Elephas maximus indicus: one gene and its partners. The protein of the gene in region 1 purifies or fractionates together with the protein of each later gene. This does not show direct contact. Links are inferred from orthologs where the notes say so. Each region holds a gene or a part of one and is shown on either strand. Other genes may lie near its edges. The genes, in order: YAP1, AMOTL2 and AMOT.

Region 1 (3,744 bases):
CAGAACTAGCCACAAACTATCTAGATGCTGTGATCATTTATCCTTTTTTTGCATGCAAAGAGGTGAGTGAAAAACTACAAAATCCAGTTACTGTTAAACAGACATTTGTTAAGATCGGTGCCTGTTACTGGTACCTATTCTAACTCCAACCTATTTTTGCGCCTTTAACCCCGTATTGACACTACTGCTGGTTTAAGTCGAGCTAACGCGGGGAGGGTTTAAGTGGAGTTTCACCCTCTCCAGGCTTCTTTCGGCCTTAGCCATTTCGCATCTCCTGGCGAGCTGGACCGAGCCTTTTTCCGAGGATCGGCGGGGAGGGACCGGGCGGGGCGGAAGAACTTCCTGCGGCCAAGGGCGGCCGCGTTCTCTGCACAGACGAGAGCTCAGACCCAGTTTGGACCCAACGTTTCCCATCCGCCCGGCCGTCAGTCCTCGCGGCGCGGAGGTCCAAGCACCCCCTCAGCCTCTGCCCTTGAAGCACAGGCGAAGGACTGGGTTGAGGGCGAGTTGGTCACGTGCGGCTGGGAGAGGCATTGGAAGCTGGGAGTTTGCAGGAATGTAGTAACTTGCAGGGAAAAGTTTCCCTCGGCGGCCGGCCGCGGATTCGGTGCGGGCGGGCGCGCAGAGGAAGGAAGAGCTGGGAGGAGGCGGAGCCGGCGAGCGGCTCGGGCGGGCAGTTCTCTCAACTTCAGTTTTGGCGTCTGAGGCGAGTTTCTGTCTCAGTCGGGCACAGCCGCCGCCGGGGAAAAGAAAGGGAGGAAGGAAGGAACAAGAAAAGGAAATAAAAGAGAAAGGGGGAGGGGAAAGGCGACTAGTTGTCCGGCTTCAGTCAAGGGAGTTGAAGGGGAAAAAAGTTCTCAGGCGCCGCAGGTCCGGGTCTCTCTCAGCCCCTCCCGAGGCGCAGCCGCCAGACCAGTGGAGCCCGGGCGCAGGGCGGGGGCGGAGGCGCCGGGGCGGGGGATGCGGGGCCGCGGCGCAGCCCCTCGGCCCTAAGAGCGAGGAGCGCGCCGCTCCCGACGCCCAGCGCCGCCCGGCCCGCCGCCCTCGCCGCTTCTCTAGTCTCGGCCCGTCGAGCCGGGCCGCCCGGGCGGAGCCCTCGCCCGCCTGGTCAGGGGGTGCGCGTCGGGAGAGGCAGAAGCCATGGATGCCGGGCAGCAGCCGCCGCCTCAGCCTGCCCCCCAGGGCCAAGGGCAGACGCCCGCGCAGCCCCCCCAGGGGCAGGACCCGCCGTCCGGGCCCGGGCAGCCGGCGCCCCGGGGATCCCAGGCGGCGCCGCAGGCCCCCCCCGCCGGGCACCAGATCGTGCACGTCCGGGGGGACTCGGAGACCGACCTGGAGGCGCTCTTCAACGCCGTCATGAACCCCAAGACGGCCAACGTGCCCCCGACCGTGCCCATGAGGCTCCGGAAGCTGCCGGACTCCTTCTTTAAGCCGCCGGAGCCCAAATCCCACAACCGACAGGTAACCTACCCCTTCCCTGTCGGGCGGGCCCCAGGTCGGGGTGGGGATTCCGGGAACCCTGGCGAGGGGTAGGGCTATCCCGGTGAGTTGGAGGAACTGGAGGCCCCCGCTCGGCCGCGGTTTTCGGCTCCCCACTCTTCCTGGAGTCCGGGGCCGAGATTTGTTTTTCCCTTTGGAGTTTCTGCGGTTGCAGCCCCAGGGGGTGCGCTCTGCCCTTCTTCCTTTCTTTCTTTCTTCCCGGGGTTCCCAGGAGGTTGGCGGGAGTGAAGGGGGAGGTGGGGAGGAAGGAAGGGGGTGGGGAGAGCCCGCCCGGGCCGCGGTGGGCTTGCACAATGCGCGCGTCTCCGCGCGCTCCGCACCTTCGCTCCAGCCGCGGCCCGGGGAGGGGGAGGGGGGCCTCTGGCATCCGAGTGGGTGAGTTGCCAGCGGCGGCCGAGTTTGTGAAGTTGAGCCCTGGGCCCCTTTTCCTTCGGGGCCTCTCGGTCCTCTTCAGTCTCCTGGGGAGTCAAATAATTGTTCTCTTGTTTTCCAGTGTTGATTAGGGGGTGGGGGTGGAACTAGTGCTGTTCGTTTTCTTGCTCTTTCTCCCCCTCCCCCGACCGAAAGCATTTATTTTCCTCGCTGCCCCGGCCCATTCGGAATACAGGATCCGGGCTTCCCCTGCCCAGACTTTCCTGGAAGTTGTTTATGGAGTTCGTTCTTTCACTCCTGCACTTCCCTTGCGCTTGGAACTCAGGCAGGCTCACTCTTATCAAACTCGGTAGATTCATGTGTTGGTTTCCCAATTTTAGGCTATTATTTACAGTCTGCTGAAATGCTTTTAAATTAGCCACATCTGCACGTTGCGCAGGACCTGAGTTGAGCTTTACAGTACCGAGGTTTTAACACACAGCCTTTGATAATACCCTGCAGGTTGACTCATAGGCCAAGTCCTGCCTGGTTCAACTCTGATTAAAAGTTAATGTTTGGGAAGCGATGACTAATTCTAGGATCGCCATTGCTTTTTAATTCTTATTGAGGATATGAACATGGCTGCTTTTCCGCAAACACAACGTTCGACTATTTTGTCAACTTGTTTTAATATTGAAGTGGAACTATTTATTAGGAAAGTTTTAACATTCCAGTAGGTCCCGGTAGGTATATATATATATTTTTTTTTACTGAAGGCTTTTGTAGGTGTCGCCCCCCCCCCTTTTTTTTTTTTTGAAGAAGTTGCTATGGCTAAACTTCAGCATAGGAACTTTGGCCAAAAGCTAATTGGTTTTCCAAATACTGCATCGTAGTTTGTCCACTCGGGCTGTAACTTGAGTGGAAAGAAGAGGTTCCCCCCCCCCACCCACTCCCATTCCTCCTCATATTTGCAGGCCTGTAGTATATTCTTGTGGGCAAACCGAAGGAATTTTGGAACTCAGAAAAGCTTACTGTCAAAAACCCGGGTTAAGGACGTGATAGAAAAAAACAGTTTAGCTGCTTGCCTAAACAATTTGTAAGAGGTAGACTTAGGTATGCTTTTTTCTTTAACCCTGCAGGTGAGCTTCTGGGCTCGTTATGGATAAAGTGTGTAGGCATGCACCCTACAGAGTACAAACTACGGTGCTATTTACTTACTATAAGTATAATGCACACAGGAGATTGAATTCCCCATTTTGTGGCATCTATAAACCAAAAAGAATTGCAACTGAAAAGTGAACTTATTCTTCTAATAAGTAATTACACAAGAATTTATATCCAGCAGTTGGTGGGCAGTCTCCCTTCCTTGCCCATATGAATGTAGGAAATTCTAACCTTCTGATAATCAAACTCTAATTCTAATCAATGGATTAAAAAAAAAACACTATATTTTGAATAGTATGAATTTGTGTTGTAAATACTACTGTTCATAAACTGTTAGATGTAAATTCTTAGGTTTATATCATATAACCAAACCAAACCCACTGCTGTGGAGTCAATTCTGACTCATAGCGAACCTGTAGAGGAGAACTGCCCCATAGGGTTTCCAGGGCTGTAATCCATCAAGATTAATCCACAAAGACTACAGCCTTGAAAACCCTGTGGGGCAGTTCTCCGTCCTATAGGGTTGATATGAGTCAGAATTGACTTGATGGCAGTGGGTTCGGTTTGGATATATGACATAAACCTAAGAATTTACATTCAAGAGTTTATGAACAATAGTATTTACAACACAAATTCATACTGTTCAAAATTGAGTATAATTTTTTTTTAACCCATTGGTTAGGGTTTTATCAAAAAGTTAGAATTTTCTATTTTCATATGGGCAAGAAC
Region 2 (3,744 bases), on another chromosome or scaffold:
GAGTTTTCAAGGAGCGACTGGTGGATTCGAACTGCCGACATTTTGGTTACCTGCCAAGCTCTTAACCACCAGGCCAGCAGAGCTCCACTCAGTTGGTTACCAAAACAAACAAACAAAATCCATTGTTTCCGACTTGATTCCGACTCATACTGACCCTACAGGACCAAGTAGAACGGCCCCATAGGGTTTCCAAGGAGCTGCTGGTGGATTCGAACTGCCGGTCTTTTGGTTACCAACCAAACACTTAACCACTGCACCACCAGGGCCCCATTCAGTTCGTTAAAATCAAAACCCATTGCCGTCGATTCCAACTCATAGCGACCCTATAGGACAGAGAAGTACAGCCTCATAGTTTTCAAGGAGCGCATGGTGGAGTTGAACTGCTGACCTTTTGGTTAGCAGCCATAGCACCTAACTACTATGCCACCAGGGTTTCCAATTCAGTTGGTTAGGTGGGTCAAATTAACCACAAGATTTTTCAACCCAGACTGACATTTCCTGTGGATCCAAAAAATACGGGTCCTAAAAGAGCTGTTGAAGGTGTCTGTAAACAATAAAAGTGCAATTCAAAGGTTGCCGCTGGGCGTGAAAGCAGTGGGGGTTAGGGACCAGGCTCAGTCGCAGAAAGCAAAGTCATTTCTTCGCCTGGGGTATGGTCCAGGCCAGGCCGATCTAGGCCTCCCTGCTGCTTCACACACACAAGCTGCGCTGTCGTCCCCTCCTGCAGCAATGCCGGGAGGCGGGAGTCCCTCCGTATTGTTCTGCCAAAGGGTTTAGGGGTGAAGGAATGAGAAGAAGGGGAGAACGGGGGCGGTACGGGGTCCAGAACTGGGAGAAAAATCGGCCCCAGCAGCTTCGACGGAAAAGGGCAGCCACGAGGCCCCTGGGCTGCCCAGGCGGGGAGCTCAGCTGCCGCCGGACGCCCAGCCCGCAGGACCGCCTCCCCGGAGGAAGGCGGGGGCCGAGAGGAGCGAACGGGAGGAGGCGAAGGGCGGAGGAGGGCGGCGGGCTGCGAGGTTATTTGTGGTTCTCTTTGATCCCGAGGGGGAACCTGAAACGCTCACATTCCTGGCATAGCAGCCGCCTCCGGCGCGGGCCGACCCTGGGGCTGCGCGTTGAGGCCAGAGCAGCCAGAGCGTCGGCGCCACTGCTGGGTGCACACCTCCGCCGCCGAGCTGAGTCGAGCAGAGCCAGGCCGGGCCGTCGGTTCCGACTGCGCGGGGCACCCACGGGCCTCAAGGGTAAGGAAGGCCGCTTGGCGCTCCGGGGAGCGCGCAAGGCCAGCAAAGACGCGACCCAGCCGAAGGCCGAGCCTTGGCGCAACCCGGCGTTTTCCGGGAGCCGGAGCCCCGCCGGTTGAGCGTCCTCAAGGCGCAGTGCGCACTTTCGAGGCGGCGGCAAAGCCGGGAAAGGGCCTTTCCGCCCAGGTGACAACGCGCCTTGCGCCCGGGTATCTCGAATTGCGCCGGTCCCCTGCGCTTGGGGAGGGTGCAGCCTCTAGGGAGATCAGGGTCGGTGTTTTGGGTCTCCGTTCGGGCATCGTGGCGCGGAACAGGGCTGGAGTCGCCGCTTCGAGTTCAGGTTGCAGGGCCTTGGGGGTTGGTTTGGTTAGGTAGGGGGGTTACAGGTGTCTTTGCCCCCAGCTAGCCCAAGAATTCGTCTTTGTCTTCCTTGGAAAATCCTCTCTGGAGCCACTAACCGGCTCTCACGTAGAAAGAATGCAGCCTGCAGTCCAGCCCGGTGACGTCAGCGCTAGAGTATTCGGAAAACAAAGAGGGCTTGGAAGGGGGAGAGGCGAACCCCGGACGCTTAAAGACCTCTTCAGGCCTTGAGCTGCGCTCGCCCGCTTCCTCCTGGCGCACCGGTGGCCACCGAGTGCTTATGGTCAGTTGGGAATAGGGGTAGGGCGAGCGTGAGCCCAGGCTAAGGCCAGAGATGCGTTCCTGCTTAGAAAAGGGGTGGCTGGGTGGGTGAGTTTAGAGAGCAGGGAGCGCTAGCGCAGCAGAGGCTGGGGTTGGGGGCGCAGATTTTAGTAAGGGCTCAGCCCTTTGGTATGGGAAAGGATGTGCAGCCGGCGGCCTGACAGGCGTAAACTCAAGGATGAGAAGCCCCAGGAGTGTGCTCTGCTCTCTAGCATAGTGTTGGGGGCCTGGAATCCGTCGGGAGGAGGATTCTGCCGCCCCCCCACCCCCACCCCCCGCCTTCCTCAGCCGGAGACAGCCCAGACAGTGATTAACTTAGGAAATGCCCTAAAGATGATGAAACTCCAGGGCAAATTGGCCTGTTTGCTCTTTTCGTCGCTGAAAACCCCGGGGTCTTGCATCTCTACTCGGGGGGCGGGGGGGGACACGGAATGGGTACCAGAAAGGTTGAGGACGGGGTGCCCTCCTGCCTCACCCCCCCGCCCGGGGCTGGTGGAGTCCTGGGGAGGAGAGAGTGGACTGGGAATGGCTGTTCTGTCCACATGCCAAGACCAAACTGAGGAAGGGCCCTGGGGCTAGCTTTGTGCCAGAGGAGGGCTGCATTCCTCCTGCTCCCCGCCCCCCCAAGACCTGTGGAGGTGTGGGTTTTGTTTGGTTTTGCCTGAATTCTGGTTTGAAGGTTTGTGTTAGAGGAGGCTGTGGAAAGGAGGCCGGGCAGGTGGGCAGCCTTCCAGGGCATGAGCCAGTGAGATGCCCAGTCTTAGAAGGGAACAACACCTTCTTTGGATACTCGTCTCCCTGCACTTTGGGCTCACAACCCCCGGGGTCCCTGCAACCCAAGGCCTCCCAATTTCCCCCTTCGCTCCTCCAGTTGGCTCAAGTAGGTGTTACTGATGTTACAAAAGATGCTGAGTGCCCATCTCCTGTATGCCTAGAGGGCCCGCAGGGGCTTTTCCAAATAGCAAGGTTGGGGGAAAGCGGGGAGAGGTGATCATAGGGCTGAAGGCATCATGCCCCTCCTTTCATTTTCCTGGAGTACCCATGCAGTTACTGTCGGCACACAGAGACTATGTGGCTAACCCACTCACCTTGATGGGTAGGATCTTTTTGCCTCAACTCACACATTGTCCTACTGCACCCTCCCGTCTTTCATCCCTTATCCACCACTTTAGATGCATTTTCTTCTTCCTGTGTACTAGCAGAGTGACTGCCAAGGTCATCCCATGACAGGGAGCCCTGAGTTCATTCTGTCAACAGCCCTTGATTAAACAGAGCCCAGGGTCTGCCCTCCAGGGAGCTCGCTGGTTCAGGGGAAAGCAAGGGAGGTGGGTAGTAGGCTCAGGGGGTAAAGGGTAGTGGGTTGGCTGTGCCGAAGCCAGGGCTCAGGCATGCTTCCTTTGGGGTAGATCTGGCTAGATCTGAGCTGGTCCCCATGGGCCTGCCCTTGAATCACTCATCTGCAGGGGCTGTGATTGCTGATTGATGACCTTCTGGGCTGCTGTTGTCTTCCTCTAGTTGTAGTAAGTCTTTGTGAATATTATTATGGTTGGACCAGGCTGTAATGGAAAGTCCTCCCCTTGCCCACGTGCTCCCACTCATTGTTCTCTCTCTCCTCTCAGGTGCTCTGGGCCCAGGTGCTGCTGGCCATTCTCCAGGCAGGTGTGTGCAAGCCAAGGAAGAATGAGGACGCTAGAAGACTCCTCGGGGACAGTCCTGCACCGCCTCATCCAGGAGCAGCTGCGCTATGGCAACCTGACCGAGACACGCACACTGCTGGCCATCCAGCAGCAGGCCCTGCGGGGTGGGGCTGGAGGCACAGGGA
Region 3 (3,744 bases), on another chromosome or scaffold:
TGAGGATGGTACAGGACTGGGCAGTTTCATTCTGTTGTACACAGAGTCACTATGAGTCGGAACTGACTCTATGGCACCTAACAACAACAAGAAGAGAATGGTGGTTTCCATGGTAAATGTTCCTCATATTTGTTTTTTCAAGTTCACTTCAGAGATACACAGCATGATTTCCTCTTTCAGTACCAGCACCACAATAGATTTAGGTCGTGGCGCCACTGCAGAACTGTTTAAAAAAGAAATCTCACCCACCCTGGTTAGAAAAGGGGCAATTTATTATTCTAACTGCAGGGAGCCAATTTCATATCCACCTTTAAAGCTGTAGGAAAAAAGTTGATTTTTTAAAAGAAAGCCGCAGAACCTACACACCTTGGATGTAAATGCTTAAAACAGATGAGCAGAATATGATTCCCAAACTCATATGAGAGACTCTCTGCCATGTGTCGTACACAGTAGGAACACATACATTTGTGGAGTGCTTTGTGGTTTACAGAGTTTTCACACACATTTTATTTCCTTACCAATGCCAGGAAGTTAATAGGGCATGTCTTATAGCCTTTATTTACAGATAGGGAAATTAAACGATTTAACAAAGGCAAACAACTAGCTAATAAGTGCCAGAGCCCGAAATGAATTCTTCCCTTGGTTCCAAATTCCATGTTATTCTGCTATCCCTATGCTGTTTCTTGGTGCTTTAGTTTTCCCAGCTGTAAAATGGTAGCTGGTGTTCTCAAATCCCAGTGTTCTTAAGCAACAGCAATTTTTCGTAGCTCGGAAATATGAACACCACATTGATACTTCAGGTACGTTTTACCCCTCCCTACCTGGTGTATTGAGGAGGAAGAAAAGTTACTATTCTAAGTGCTAGACAGTGCCGTAGAGGTGTACCCCAGTCTGCGGATACACTGTCGTACTCTTTTTAAAAAAAAAAAAAAAAGAGACTGAGAAATCAAGCTTCTCATCTTTCTTTTCCCAGAAGTGGCTGGGGGAGAAGAGAGACAATAGCTTCTTGTTTAGTTTTATCAATTTTGAGGGCGGGTGAGGCAGAGGAGCGATTGACGGCTCAATTGACCAATCGGAAAGGAATGCTAAGGTAGGATTCGCCAACGGGAAGCTGCAAAAGAATGGTGGGTGGGATTTGCTCCTCTGGATCCGCTCCGCCCAGGCCAGTTCTCTCAGCCCGCCCAAGAGGCGGAGGCTCCACAAGCCCCGCCCACCTTTCCCCTGCCGTCAGAAGGAGGGGCGGAGGCGCTTGGTGGGGGAGGGGTCGAAGGCTAGGGGGAGCGGAGGAAGAAAGGAGGGTGTCTCGCAGAACCGTGACCTGGGTGGAGGCCTGCTGGTAATAGGAAGCAAGAGGGGAAGGAAAACGAAGGAGCGCTGCTTCTTCCTGCATTATTTGAAGCTGACTTTGACAGAAGCTGCTTCTCAGCTTTTCTATTATTTGTTTTTCTGCTTCCCGCTGTGGGGCGGAGAGCTGCACTGGCTCTCCCACGCGACTCTGCTCCGCTTGTGCCGTAGATTATTATTGTAGTCTTTTCGAAACCCTTTCCTTCCTCCCAACCACTCCTTGCGTAGACTTTCGGTACTCCCGGAACCAAGCCATGCCACGTTCGTAGTAGGGCGGGAGCGAAGGCCCCCACTTTCGCGGGAGCTCCTGGACCCCGCCGTTCAATTGTTTGAAACTTCCCCGCCCCCTGGCCCCGCCTCTCTTCCGCACCTCCCCCCTCTAGGGTCCAGTCAGGCTCCCGCCCTTCTTTCCCCGCCCTCTACTCCGCCTCCTACCCTAGTCCACCGCCAACCCCTCCTCTCCTGGGCGGTCCTAGCCGCTCACCGCAAGAAGAAAAGCCACCCATTCGTCCCCCTCCCCTACCTCCCATCCTTTGCCCAGGAGCTGCCTTCATCGCAGTCACGCCCCTTCCTTCCTAGGAGCTTTCTGGCTGTCCAAGCTTTCTGGCTGTCCAAGCTGGTAGACCCCTTGAATTACTCCTCCATCCCTGCTTTCCTCGCCTCCTTTTCCCCTAGTTCTCTTCCCCCGCCCTCCCACCTCGAGTCTGTCTAGCCTCGGATCATCCGCTGCTCCACCCTCCGGCCCGGTATCCTGCCTGTCCACTGCCACTAAGGAGAGACCGGACGGAGCAGTGAGGAGGAGAGCAGCCGGGAGTTGGGGCTTCCCCCTGCCCATCCCTGGCCGCTGGCCCGGGACTGAAGCCACCTGAGCGAGCAGAGAGCCGTCACCCTGTCTTCGTTGCCTTCAGGGGTAGGAGAAGTGTGGTTACTTTTTACGGGGAACTGGGGCAGGAATTAATGGTGGCATGAACTTGGTCGTGCCCTCGGCGTGAGTGATTCGCTCTAGAAGCTTGTAGAGATGCCCGTGCGCTCTACTTTCTTTGCAGCTGGCCGTGAGTTTTCCAGCATGTGCAGCAAGTTAAATCGATTAAAGAGTGTGCACTCCTTTTCCGTCCTACTTCGGCAAGGAGATGCTAGTGGGTACCACAACTTGATGGTTCTTTAACTTCCTTGTCTTCTGGGGTCCTTGTAGGTCTCTAGGCAATTAATCACATAAGAAACTAAAGACTCAAGGGAAACCGAGATTTACGTTTGGCCCAGCAGGAATATCTGCTCTTATTTCAGATGACTAGATGAGTTTCTCCTCTGTGCTTAGGGTAGGGATGGGGGCTAACACTCCACTCCTCCAGGCGGGGGATGGGCGGCAAGTGAAGTCCGGCTGGGGGGTGTTGAATTCTTGAGGTCTTAAATTCTGGGAGTAATCTATCACGCTACGCTCCTTTTGGTGTATGTGTGTGTCGCTGGTGGTGGGTAGGGGCGGTAGCCCCTTATCAGCTTTATAAGGTTTAATAATGTTGGTTAACTAGTTTTTCGGGATCAGGCAGGTGTCGTGAGGGTCCCAAGCCCAGGCCACTGCGTAGGTGCTTCAACAGCAAGATGGACTTCATCAATATTTGAAAATAAAGAGAAGGAAAATTAGGGAAAGTGACAGTCTTTGTAGACTGTGAGCAGTCCCCTGTAAATTGCCACTAGTAATATTATAATAATTTGCAACAAGGGACTAAACACAATTAAATGAGAGAAAAAAAGGAAAGGTTTGTGAGAAACAGCATTTCCAATCTCTAGTAGATACTTTACAAAGACACTTTAGGGTGTTTTAGTTCAGTTCCCCTCCCATGAAGGGTGGAAATTTGGAAGCAGTTTAAAAATTTTTATTAATTAATCCTCTTCTATTCAGAAAGGAAGATAATTAGTCACCATATTCTTTAATGTTGGAGGGCTAAGGGTATGTAAGACTCCTTGAACTAGGCTTTGTGAAAAGTTCTTTCTTGGGACAGCCTTTGTGAAGCCTTCTCAGTTAGTCCTTTGAGCACCCCCATTTAGTAACTAAGAATAGTTTGAAATACCATTTTCGACATGGGATACAACTTCACCCATCTCCTACTTATTTCCAATTGGGTAAGTATGACAAGCTTATAAAAATGGTGGTGTTCAAAGATCTATTACCGAAATGTCCCCAACCCGTTGCTTATTTGGGAACATATTATTTCCTTATATTTTAAAATAATTTCTTTGGTTGATTTTAATAAGAGAAAGGAAAGCAGGGAGAGAAGGAACTTTGCAGGGTGACAATTTTAAAGGCTATCACGTTTCAGATCAGCTGGGAGGGAAGAGCTGGCTTGACCAAACTGCACTTTATAACTGGCCTGGGACATTTTAATAGCCAGGTGGTTGTAGAGT

Evidence for each region.
Region 2: the proteins of YAP1 (region 1) and AMOTL2 purify together in Homo sapiens (affinity purification with mass spectrometry; 10 studies listed by BioGRID and IntAct, with this or other methods). This does not show direct contact. The link is inferred for Elephas maximus indicus from reciprocal best matches to the Homo sapiens genes YAP1 and AMOTL2.
Region 3: the proteins of YAP1 (region 1) and AMOT purify together in Homo sapiens (affinity purification with western blotting; 17 studies listed by BioGRID and IntAct, with this or other methods). This does not show direct contact. The link is inferred for Elephas maximus indicus from reciprocal best matches to the Homo sapiens genes YAP1 and AMOT.

What each region holds. Positions count from the first base shown.
Region 1 is NC_064825.1:18,549,661-18,553,404, reverse strand, and holds the start of YAP1 (transcriptional coactivator YAP1), read left to right. Parts: upstream 1-1,047; 5' UTR 1,048-1,140; coding exon 1,141-1,461; intron 1,462-3,744. UniProt on the Homo sapiens protein: Transcriptional regulator with dual roles as a coactivator and corepressor. Critical downstream regulatory target in the Hippo signaling pathway, crucial for organ size control and tumor suppression by restricting proliferation and promoting apoptosis.
Region 2 is NC_064844.1:45,190,476-45,194,219, forward strand, and holds the start of AMOTL2 (angiomotin-like protein 2), read left to right. Parts: upstream 1-1,046; 5' UTR 1,047-1,241; intron 1,242-1,267; exon of another isoform or gene 1,268-1,884; intron 1,885-3,541; 5' UTR 3,542-3,602; coding exon 3,603-3,744. UniProt on the Homo sapiens protein: Regulates the translocation of phosphorylated SRC to peripheral cell-matrix adhesion sites. Required for proper architecture of actin filaments.
Region 3 is NC_064846.1:44,575,957-44,579,700, forward strand, and holds the start of AMOT (angiomotin), read left to right. Parts: upstream 1-1,538; 5' UTR 1,539-2,254; intron 2,255-3,744.